2 linked regions of the Caenorhabditis elegans genome follow. The protein of the gene in region 2 purifies or fractionates together with the protein of the main gene of each other region. This does not show direct contact. Each region holds a gene or a part of one and is shown on either strand. Other genes may lie near its edges.

Region 1 (4,946 bases), on a different chromosome or scaffold from region 2:
TACATTGACGGAAAAGGAGAATTCAAAAAATCAAGTTTGTTTGAATATCAACTAATTTAACAAAATTCTTCTTCTTTTTAGGTATTACTCTTGGAGCTCGTGCTGACAGCTACTACGAATATCTTATCAAGCAATGGCTTCAAACCAAAAAATCAATTGATTGGCTGCGTGACGACTTCATTCAATCCATTGCCGCCATGAAAAAGCATCTCTATAGACAATCTCAGCCGAATAGCATCTGGTTTCTCGGTGAAATAACCGAATTGGCACAGTTCTATCCAAAAATGGATCACCTTGTCTGTTTCCTTTCCGGATCTCTTGTACTTTCCCATTTAAATGGTCTTGATCATGACAATGAACATTTGGAAATGGCTAAAAATATTGGAAATGTTTGTCATAAAATGTATGAAAATCCAACAGGACTTGGACCAGAAATAATACATTTCAATATGGAGGATAGTTCTGATATGACACAAGCGGATACTTATGTGAAGAATCTTGATGCTCATTCACTTCTCCGTCCAGAAGCAATTGAAGCGTGGTTCTATTTGTATCGTGTTACTAAAGATAAGAAATATCAAGAGTGGGGATGGAAAGCTTTTGAGTCGATTGAAAAGTATGCAAAAGTGGAAACTGGTGGATACAGCTCAATTGACAATGTGCTCAGAAAGAAGATCAAAAGGTTTGTCAGCATTTTGTTTAATTTTTAATCATTCAAATTCAGACGTGACAAAATGGAATCATTCTTCCTTGCTGAGACCCTCAAATACCTTTACCTTCTAATGGCTGATGATCAAGAAATCCTTCCACTCGATCGATGGGTTCTCAACACTGAAGCCCACCCACTTCCAATTTACAATTGACTGATGCTGTATTTTTCACTTTTTGACGGGTTTTTAGAATTTATTTTTACCAAAAACAAAACGTTTGTCTAACAAATAAACTATAACACATGTATCTATTGCATTCTGATCAATCTTCCATGAATTTCTTCATTAACTGGCCAATACTGCGTCTTTCCAACAACTGCTGCAGAGACCTGTCCTTCAAGGAATACACGTCGGCAAACATCTCGGAGCTGCTGGACTGTGATTGATTCGATTCGGGCATGTAATTCTGGAGTTGGTATCCGACGACCGTAGCAAAGGAGTTGTCGACCAATATCTTCACAGACTGGAGTTGAGCCATCGAGCATTAGGAGTAGATTCGTATGCAGGGAGCGCTTGGCACGATCAACCGCTGCTTCATCAATGTCTGGAAATGAAAGATGTTGACTCAGGACTATGTTAAATAAAAACTCACTGTTCGCAAGCCAAACCCATTGTTGAAGAACTGAATCAATAAGATTGTCGATGGATTCCGGAGCAGCTACGAAATAAGTTCCAACTAATCCTGTCTCCTGAATTACAGAAATATGTAAAAAGAGTTTTTTTTCCCAGGAATTCATTACTTTATAGCACGTGTTAAATGATTGGAAAACCTCAATTCCTGCGTCTTGTGACAATTTTTCAGCCAAGCGAGTTGGAGCATTCACGCCGAATCCACGCATACGATCGTATTCACCCATTAGCTGGAATGATGAACTATCAACTTCTAAGTTATAAAAATATTTTTTAAAAAAGTACCGTATTAGCCACCATAAGGGCAAGATTATCTTCATGGGTCCAAGATACTCCTTCGACAACCATCGCTCCGTACAACATTGGAAGATCTGGAATGTCACCTCGAACCTGAAATGTAAACATTTAAAAATATATTTTGTTAATTCTATTTAATATTTGCTGATAGCGAATTTATTCAAACAAAAACTGACTTCACAGGGACTGTAAGTGGCTGGGACGAATTCAGTTGAAGAATCTCCATGCTTGAGCTCTCCGAAATATTTTTCTGCCATTTTAACAATCGCATCATGATTGACACCTCCGGCTGCTGCTAATACCATTCTGCCACTTCGATAATGTGTATTAATATATCCTTGAAGATCATTCTTATTGATTGTTTGAATTAATTCAATTGGACCAAGAATTGTATAGGAAAGAGGATTTCCTTTGAAAACATCAGCATGAAGAATATCAAATACAACTTCTTGAAAGTTTTGTGCAACTTCTTCCATTTCTCGAATAATTACACCACGTTCTGCTTCGATATCTTTAGTGGCAAGACTGCTGTTCAGAAGAATATCCGAAAGAATATCGACGGCTGCAATTCGGAATAGATATTTTAAAAATTGCATTAATAATTTTATTTCTTACATTGGTCAAGCTTTTCTGTAAAACATTTAGCATAATACGTCGTGCTTTCTCTAGAAGTGTACGCATTTAGATGAGCTCCAATATTTTCAACTTCAAGCTCCAATCCCATTCGAGTCCGGCGAGGCGTTCCCTGAAAAATTCGGATTTTTATATGAAATTCAAAATTTTCTAAAAATTAAATTAAACTAACTTTGAACGCCATATGCTCTAGAAAATGAGCTGTTCCATTGTTTTTCTCATTCTCGTAGCGACTGCCGGCATCAATAAATACTCCGATCTAATAAAAATAGCTTTGAACAAACAAATAATTTAGGAAAAATAATTACAGTAGCAGTAGATCCACCTGTGTTTTCTGTTGCAACTCTGAACCCATTCGGAAGTGTCGTTACAATTGTTTCTGGGACAAATACTGATTTCGGCTGAACTTGTGCGATTCTTCTTTGGGAAGTCTGAAAAATAAATTACTTTCACTGTAAACAAAATTGTTTAAATTACCTGATATAAGCCGGAGGCTAGTCTTCTGTACATTTATCTGAAAAAAATTTATATGCTCTATTTTCAAGGAAACAATGGTTACGCAATAGTGAAGCTCAATTTGTCGGCTAAACACAAACAAATCTACGTAATACTGGAATAAAAATCTTTTTGCTGACATTGATACAACAAAACGATTAGAGTAACGAATTAAACAAAAATTGAACAGAATTGCAGAAAATGCTTCTAAAAAAGTGAAATTAACTTTGTCCACGAGGTGTACGTAGCGAATGGAAGAACTTTCACAAACGCGGCCGCCGCGGGCAAAAAGGCGGAAGTTTGAATAAAAGATTTTGAACAATTGCACGCGGTATTTCATAACTTCGGAATTTCCAATTAATTTTTCAGATTATGCAGACATATAAAATTTCGAACCAAATAAAAAACATCAAGGGGCTCTCGTTTAGAGCTTGTATTTTTGGAAAACGATGTCCAGGGAAACGGTAATTTTGGAAATGTCCTTTCGGGGATTATTTATAATCGCGCACAAACAGGAGTGGGTATCTAGCGATCCTTATTCATGATTACAAGAGAACAAAAGAGCATATCGTGTTTTTTTAATATCTAGAGCCAAATGTTCATAATAAGTTCTGATCATTTCATAATGAATCAATTTCTAGAAATTAAAAAAAAAAACGATATAATCTGAAAACTCTTACTACCACAGTACAACTACAGTAACCCAACAGTATCTCTCCATGAACTCCAACTCAGTATCCCATCAAAAGAAAACAACTGAAATTTACTAGAACTACTTGAGAACAAACTAAAACTGTGACCTATGCATTTTTAAAAAATATTCATACATTTGTTCATATCTAGAATATATGTACTATGAAAATTAATTTTTAATTCGTATGTAGTAAAAAATCATTAGTAAAGGATACAATCCTTGTCATTGTAGTAAAAATGTCCACCGTAACAAAAGATACAAACTGTAGCAAAAGATCGAAATGGGATAACGGAGTAAAAAATACGGTTGTAGCAAAAGAGTAAAACGTCGTAAAAGATCTATGTATGCAAATCATAGTAAAAGAGATCACGTAGTAAGAGATCAAGTAGTAAAACAGTATTTGCCCTTGTTTTATTGACGATCATGATAAAACAATAAAATTTGAACATAATAAAACACTTTCACACAAATATTTAGCTAGTATTGAAAATTAAGCATTTCATGAAGCATTGAATCACAGTTGAGAACATTGAAAACTGTGAGCATCACGTAAGAAGTTGTGAGTTTTTGAGCAGATTCCTGTAATATCCTTTGTTTGCTGGATAGCTGTTATACAAAAATAAACAAACCCTGAGATAATTCATACTCATCAGAAGTTCTCCAACACGATGCTCTCCGCCTCCACCTGGTGAATGACACATTTTTGATAGAAAGCCAATTATGATATTCCTTTGTCTACGACATTTTTCACGGCCATTTTCAGTTAGCTTGAAGTATGCTGAAATTATTGAAGGATTAATTTGAAAGTTGAATACATTTTTTTAAAAAGATTATGAACTTATGTATATCGTATTTGAATTTTTATTTAAAACAAATCTAAATGTGTTAATCACTTTGGCAGAGTCACTCCTCCGTGTAGACACAAAAATATCTGTCTGATATGCCACCTTCACCTGCCTACTGCCAAAATATGAGTTTATTTTACGAGAAAATGATGAATTTAAAAATTAACACTAAATAAACACCCGCCTGGAAAAAAAGTGGTAAGAGTTTCAAACACAAGTTAAGCTATCTCTGAAACGTGAAAAAATAACTCACTAGCTTGCCATACTGTAAGTGCCTTCAACAAACAAAATTCTTCAAAAGTGACATTCAGTTTGGAAAATGGGACGATGCTTTCTTCCCAAATGGCGATGTGCATTGGCATTAGAGCTCTGAAATTATATGCAATTATTGTAATTGTTGTAGCAGAACAGTTACCTATACTTTGAAAAGTCCTCATCGCAATCAAAATATCGTCTGGCATCAATTTCATTTCCGGACATTGGTAAAGGATCCATATTCAGATATTCACCATTTGTCAATACCATTTGACGATGTGCTTGACCGAGTCTGAAATCATTTTATTTTCATTTTAGTCATTTCTAAAAAAAACTTACTTTGCCGTGTAATATGCGGAAGACAATATAAAATCAACAGCAACAATT
Region 2 (5,381 bases):
TGAGCCAGATATGCATGAAACTATGGCTTTAATAAAATTCAATTCAGAAACTCTACTTGTTTATTCTGGTCACCTTCATGACACTCCTATTTGGACCAGCTCTTTTTGTTTGCCACACATATGGACATTTGAATGTAAGCAACTGATTTTTCATGCACAGTCTGTTTTTTTGCTTTTCAGACCTGTCAGAAGTGGGCTGGTTCGGGGTGTTTTGCTAGTTTATACGCTATGTGTCCACCGAAACCTTCAACATATGAAAAAGATAAAGATGATGAAGAAGATGAGAAGATTGAAAATCCTCAGGAAAAAACACCTCTAGAAAATGAAGATGAAAATCCAGAAAAGCAACCTGGAGCTGGCGACTCGAAAGAGCCAGATGAGACATCAGGAAATAGTAGTCCGAAAAAATCAACACAAAGAGGAAAAGGACTGGTGAGTGTTGCTATCAATTTTGATGTGTCTACTATATTTATTTTTCTAGGACCCCACAAAGCACACAGAGTCTCAAAAATTCTACTCATGGCTCACCGATTCGAGCAATAGCGGAAACAGTGGAGACATTTTGTTTCGTCCATCTGTTGCTTAGTGGCGCTAAATGATCGCATTTTTCGATTATGTGCCTTCAATTGTGTTGATAGAAAAATATTTATTAAACATAAAGTGTTTTATAAAGCCAATGAATTAAAAATATTTTAAAAACCTGGATTTGTGAGAAAAATAACGTGTTGATTATTCGTCGTCTTGTTCCATGGATTCCTCACTTTCGTTGTCGAAGACAGAACGGAATGGTCGTGGAGCTGGATCAACTGGACGGCCATCGGCGGTCTTAGCTTGAGCAAATCCGACACGGTTCTGATCAAAATCGAAGACGGAATAGTACCTGATTTTTCATTGGGTTCGTCAATGTTTAATTTGAGAAAAGATATGGCTCACCTTCCAATGAAGACATCTCCAAGAATCCAGAGCTCTCCAACGCGTTCTGGGAGATCGATTCCCATAAATCCAGACAAGCAAATAGTCTTTCCACCCTGTGAAACCTTAAGGACATAGTCTTCTCCCTTAAGACTGAACTCTTGTCCTCCGATCACAAAAGAGACTGGTGGAAGTGTTGGAACCTTGTCGCAGCTGATCATGTACTCTCCCTTGATGAGAGGCTCAGCTCCAATGAAATTTTGGATGGCTTCGATTTGAGCCTTTGGTCCGGCTATGAGAGAAGTACCGGTATCAGCAATTGCTTGGCATCCATTGGAGCATCCAAGAACTCCAGATCCAACAACCTTGTCCATCTTGAATTGCCAGTATCCCTTTCTGGTGACTGGAACATAGGTGATTGGCTCAACATATCTTCTTGAGTCAATTCCTCCAAAAGTGATTTCTCCTCCAATTTCAGAGTCTGGGTTACGGTTGAGCCAAAATGAGAAAAGATTCGATGGGACCTTCTTCTGTTCGAAAAGAGTGTTGAACACTGGTTGAACTCCTGCAATAGAGTATTACAGAAGTGAGAAAACCTAGTAAGTGCTCAGAAAATAAAAGTCATTTTCTGTAATTATTGTACCTTTGATGGCATACAGGATGCAACTTATTATTACTTCACACCAAAATGTTCAATGCACAGCTTTTATAACTAAAACAAAATGCTGAACCCTTCCGATTATCCGGGTGTATCCCAGTCTACTTCAAACTCTTACCGAGAACCGCAATTTCAGGGTAAGCCATTCCGAGGATTCCGTCGAATTTGGCAGCGACAAAGGTGATTCCTGGTTCACTGGTTGCTTCAGCAAATGGCTGATCCTCAGCGCACACTCCTGCGACGCAAACGCTATCCTTTGAAATGAATCCCTTCATGGATCCAGTTCCATATTGAATTGCCATCTTTCTACCATCCTCCTTGTATGTTGACGAGCTCTTTGAGTCGTAACGGTGATGAAGCACTGAAATGAAAAAGTGTTTTATTTGTTTGTCCAAACCATAAAACTGTCAAAAACAAACACGTTTCGGTCAGCATCAGTTCACAAGAAAAAGCATGATATCAGTTTGATTTGGTGATGAAATACTTACTGCATGCAATGTCGTAGAATGGACACTTTTTCGATGGAATCCACAAATTGGAAGACCCAGTATCAAAGATGACTGTGAAGTTTTGAGCTGGAGTTCCGATTGAGATGGTTCCAAAGTATTGAGCCTAAAACTTTGATTAGTTATATGTTTTTTGTTGTTTCAATTCTCACATCCATATAGTTTCTGAGAAGCTCATCAATCTCTCCTTCAACATTCAAAGCTTGGTACTTGTCGAAATGATGATTTCCATTGGTTTTCAAGTACTTCTTATATCCATGACGATGCTTGGCAAAGGTTTCGAATGAACCGGCTTGAAGAAGAGTCTCGCGAAGAGTCGGCTGCTTCTTCAGGGAAACGCTGCAAGCAGAATAAGAACTGAGCAACTGCTGAGTGGGTCACTTGTTTTTGTTCTTGTTGTTCGGATTTTTGAGCAGTGTTGATCAACTCGAATGGGATAAGCAGGAGGGTCTTGTGACCCATCGAGAGAAAAAGTGGCATGATGTGCCTTCTCGAAATCTTAGATTTGTGAGACAAAATAGAAAGAAAAAGTGTTATGATCAAAGTAGAAAGAAGTGTTCCCAACAAAACCCAATGAATTTAAATAATCCTTTCACAGTTAGAAAAATTTTATTAGGTTTTTTTTTTAATGTCAAAATCAGATTTGAAACTACAATAAAAAACAATGGACAACTTTCAGTTCTTTATAGTATCCTGTCTAAATGAGATTCTGACGGGATTATATAATATTGAAACAGATAACAAGGTTACTCATTACCGAGGATTCAAGTATCAATCAATCTTGCACATTATCACACCTATTCAGTTATGTCATAAGTAGGTGTTTGCGTGGCACCTAATATTAAGAAACATGACCAACATTTTCACTATATCGATGATCAAAATGAGGTGTCAACAAACCTCCAACGACCTCTACTTACGTTCTCAATTTCTGTTGCCTCTTGTGAACATGAAGACCTTGAACGAGAAGAAGTGCTCCGAGGAGCAAAAGAATACAGCGGTTCATCCTGACGATGAAACTAACTGAATGCCTCTTCCGATCTCAATTGTGCCTTTTCTTATCTCCCCTTTCTCTTCATGATGACTCCGCCTTGTTTCTTTGCCGGCACAACAGCAGCTGCAAGGTCAACTGTCTCGTTGTTATTCCTCCAGCTGTCATGCATAATTATCGGAAAGTAAATTCTAAACATTCAAAAAATGGCCTGACCGTTGTCAACGTGTCCGTCTGTACCGGTGAGATGACAAGTTTGAATGATAAGGGAATTGTGAAACTTTGTTCTGTTTCGATTTAGGGGAGAGAAAATGGGATAATTTCAAAACTCGGCCAAATCAAGATCCTATCTAATTTTGTCTTCAAGGTTGTTGTAGACAGTAATTGGGACTTTTGACGGAGTTTGAAAGACAGTTAGTCAATCACGCAATGGACTATGAAAAAAATTGCATGGCCACTTTTGAAATAAAACCAAAACGTTTGGAAGACCAAGCAATTTTAATGTTAAACTGTTAAACATAGAAGACACAAAAGCTCTGTAAATTGAGGTTTTTTTGTGGATGGAAAATAGCGTGGATGCTGCCCGTTTTTTCCGTCTGATTTGTGAACAACAGTGTTTGAATGCTAAGGATAATATTGATTTAGGTTCATTCATCTTAAAACAACTATGATTGGGTTATAGCTTTACAAAACAGATTCTACAATTGTTCAAGGGCTCCTATATCAAGTAGTTGCTTAAATTAAGCCTATAAAATATACAAGTTGCGTGGAAAACTTACAGGAGATTTAAAAATTGTTTTTGAAAAACTATATACAATTTTCGTATAACATTGTTGACATTTTTGTTCAATGTTCAATTTTCAGTTTTCATTAAAATTGTTGATGAAATTATCATGTCCTAATGCAATGTCCTAATGCATACATAAAAAATTTTAGATGAAATGGATTAGCATGAAAAAAGCTATACAATAAAAACTATTATTGGAAACAACCGGCACTGGATATATGAATATTATGTATCTTTTAATCACAACTCTCGAAAAAGTTATCCCCCCAAAGTCTGAAGAATTGAGCATAGTGAAACTTTACTTAACTAACAAAATTGAAAAATAATATTCCACAAAAAAGGGCAAATTAAGGCAGATGAAAAAAAAAACTTTAAAAAAAAGCACACTATTAAATTTTCCAGATTTAGTAATCAGAACGCTGCATTCAATTCCGTCATGAAGTTTATAAACGTTTAGTTCTTTTAAAACCTAGTATTTTGCAATAAACACCAGAAATGTACAAGTTCGGCCAAATTGGATGCAAAATCAGAAAAAATCGGAAATAAAAATCCGGTAATTTGGGGGCTCACCTCATATTCTGAAACAACGAGAACTTGATTTACATATGGTTCTTTGATATTTAATTTTAAGCAATTTTTTAATTAGTAGTGACACTTTAGTTGTTTGTTTTGTTTTCCAACTATTCTTTTACATTCTTATAACTTCAATTTTTCATTTATGAGGTTTGTAAAATAATTTATTCACAAATAAACTTGAATCAAAGTGTATAAATATATTCTTTCAAACATCTTCTTCACAATATGTGAAATTAAACATCAATCAGAATCCGTTGTGAATGTCATTGCAGATGTTCCCTCTCCACCATTTGCCAACGCTTCCTCCATTTGTTCTTCATCTGACCTGATTCCATAGATCTTGCGAATTTCTTCCGTGCTTTTTCCTCGAATCAATTCTGCTGCGGCTGCACACCCCATATTCATCAAATCTTCGACTCCAAGCGCATGAGAAGCATTGAGTAGTGCAAAAAGAACTCCCGATTCCACGTTGAAAAACTGCTTGTCCCATTCGGAAAAATCGTGGTAACGAATTTTGGAGTCTCGTCGGGCGAGCGGGTTGTCCTGATAATGGTAAAGCCACTCTATTACAGCTTGAACAATCGATGAGTGGAATGGAACGAGAATTGGATCTGCTCGTTCACAATTTCTGTCGTTCACTCCATGGTCAATAAACTTCTGATTGATAAATGCACAAAATTTCATTGGTCCTCGTTCGACATTAAAAATTTGACCATCCTCTGACTTCAGTTTGTACAAGGGCGCAGATCGTGGTGTGGTCATGATGTGGAACTAAAGGTAATTGATTAAATAGTTTTGCAATTGTTTCAAAAATATTATTGAGTGGATTCAAACCACACAAAAATAAATATATAAATGAGATATCTTTAAAGTAATTTTTATTATTTATTTGGCGAATCATAGACCTGTGGAAAAGAGCTGGAAGAATACACTATGAATTTATTAAAGATG

The links. The genes of interacting proteins can lie anywhere in the genome.
Region 1: the proteins of asp-4 (region 2) and mppb-1 fractionate together in Caenorhabditis elegans (co-fractionation; one large-scale study listed by BioGRID). This does not show direct contact.

The regions. Positions count from the first base shown.
Region 1 is NC_003282.8:9,072,511-9,077,456, reverse strand, and holds mppb-1 (Mitochondrial-processing peptidase subunit beta), read right to left. Parts: upstream 2,785-4,946; 5' UTR 2,781-2,784; coding exon 2,748-2,780; intron 2,702-2,747; coding exon 2,579-2,701; intron 2,530-2,578; coding exon 2,443-2,529; intron 2,383-2,442; coding exon 2,253-2,382; intron 2,200-2,252; coding exon 1,814-2,199; intron 1,731-1,813; coding exon 1,626-1,730; intron 1,571-1,625; coding exon 1,451-1,570; intron 1,400-1,450; coding exon 1,303-1,399; intron 1,255-1,302; coding exon 959-1,254; 3' UTR 886-958; downstream 1-885. Other genes in the region: mans-4 (alpha-1,2-Mannosidase), read left to right, coding at 1-34, 82-682, 725-863; Nuclear hormone receptor family member nhr-11, read right to left, coding at 3,937-4,038, 4,089-4,237, 4,558-4,673, 4,720-4,851, 4,899-4,946. UniProt on the Caenorhabditis elegans protein: Catalytic subunit of the essential mitochondrial processing protease (MPP), which cleaves the mitochondrial sequence off newly imported precursors proteins. Preferentially, cleaves after an arginine at position P2.
Region 2 is NC_003284.9:13,218,346-13,223,726, forward strand, and holds asp-4 (Aspartic protease 4), read right to left. Parts: upstream 3,118-5,381; 5' UTR 3,083-3,117; coding exon 2,997-3,082; intron 2,416-2,996; coding exon 2,229-2,415; intron 2,183-2,228; coding exon 2,059-2,182; intron 1,932-2,058; coding exon 1,689-1,931; intron 1,478-1,688; coding exon 934-1,477; intron 881-933; coding exon 730-880; 3' UTR 640-729; downstream 1-639. Other genes in the region: R12H7.4 (G_PROTEIN_RECEP_F2_4 domain-containing protein), read left to right, coding at 48-134, 181-432, 482-586; skr-20 (Skp1-related protein), read right to left, coding at 4,671-5,192. UniProt on the Caenorhabditis elegans protein: Aspartic protease, which is part of the necrosis cell death pathway. Involved in neuronal cell degeneration. Involved in heat stress response.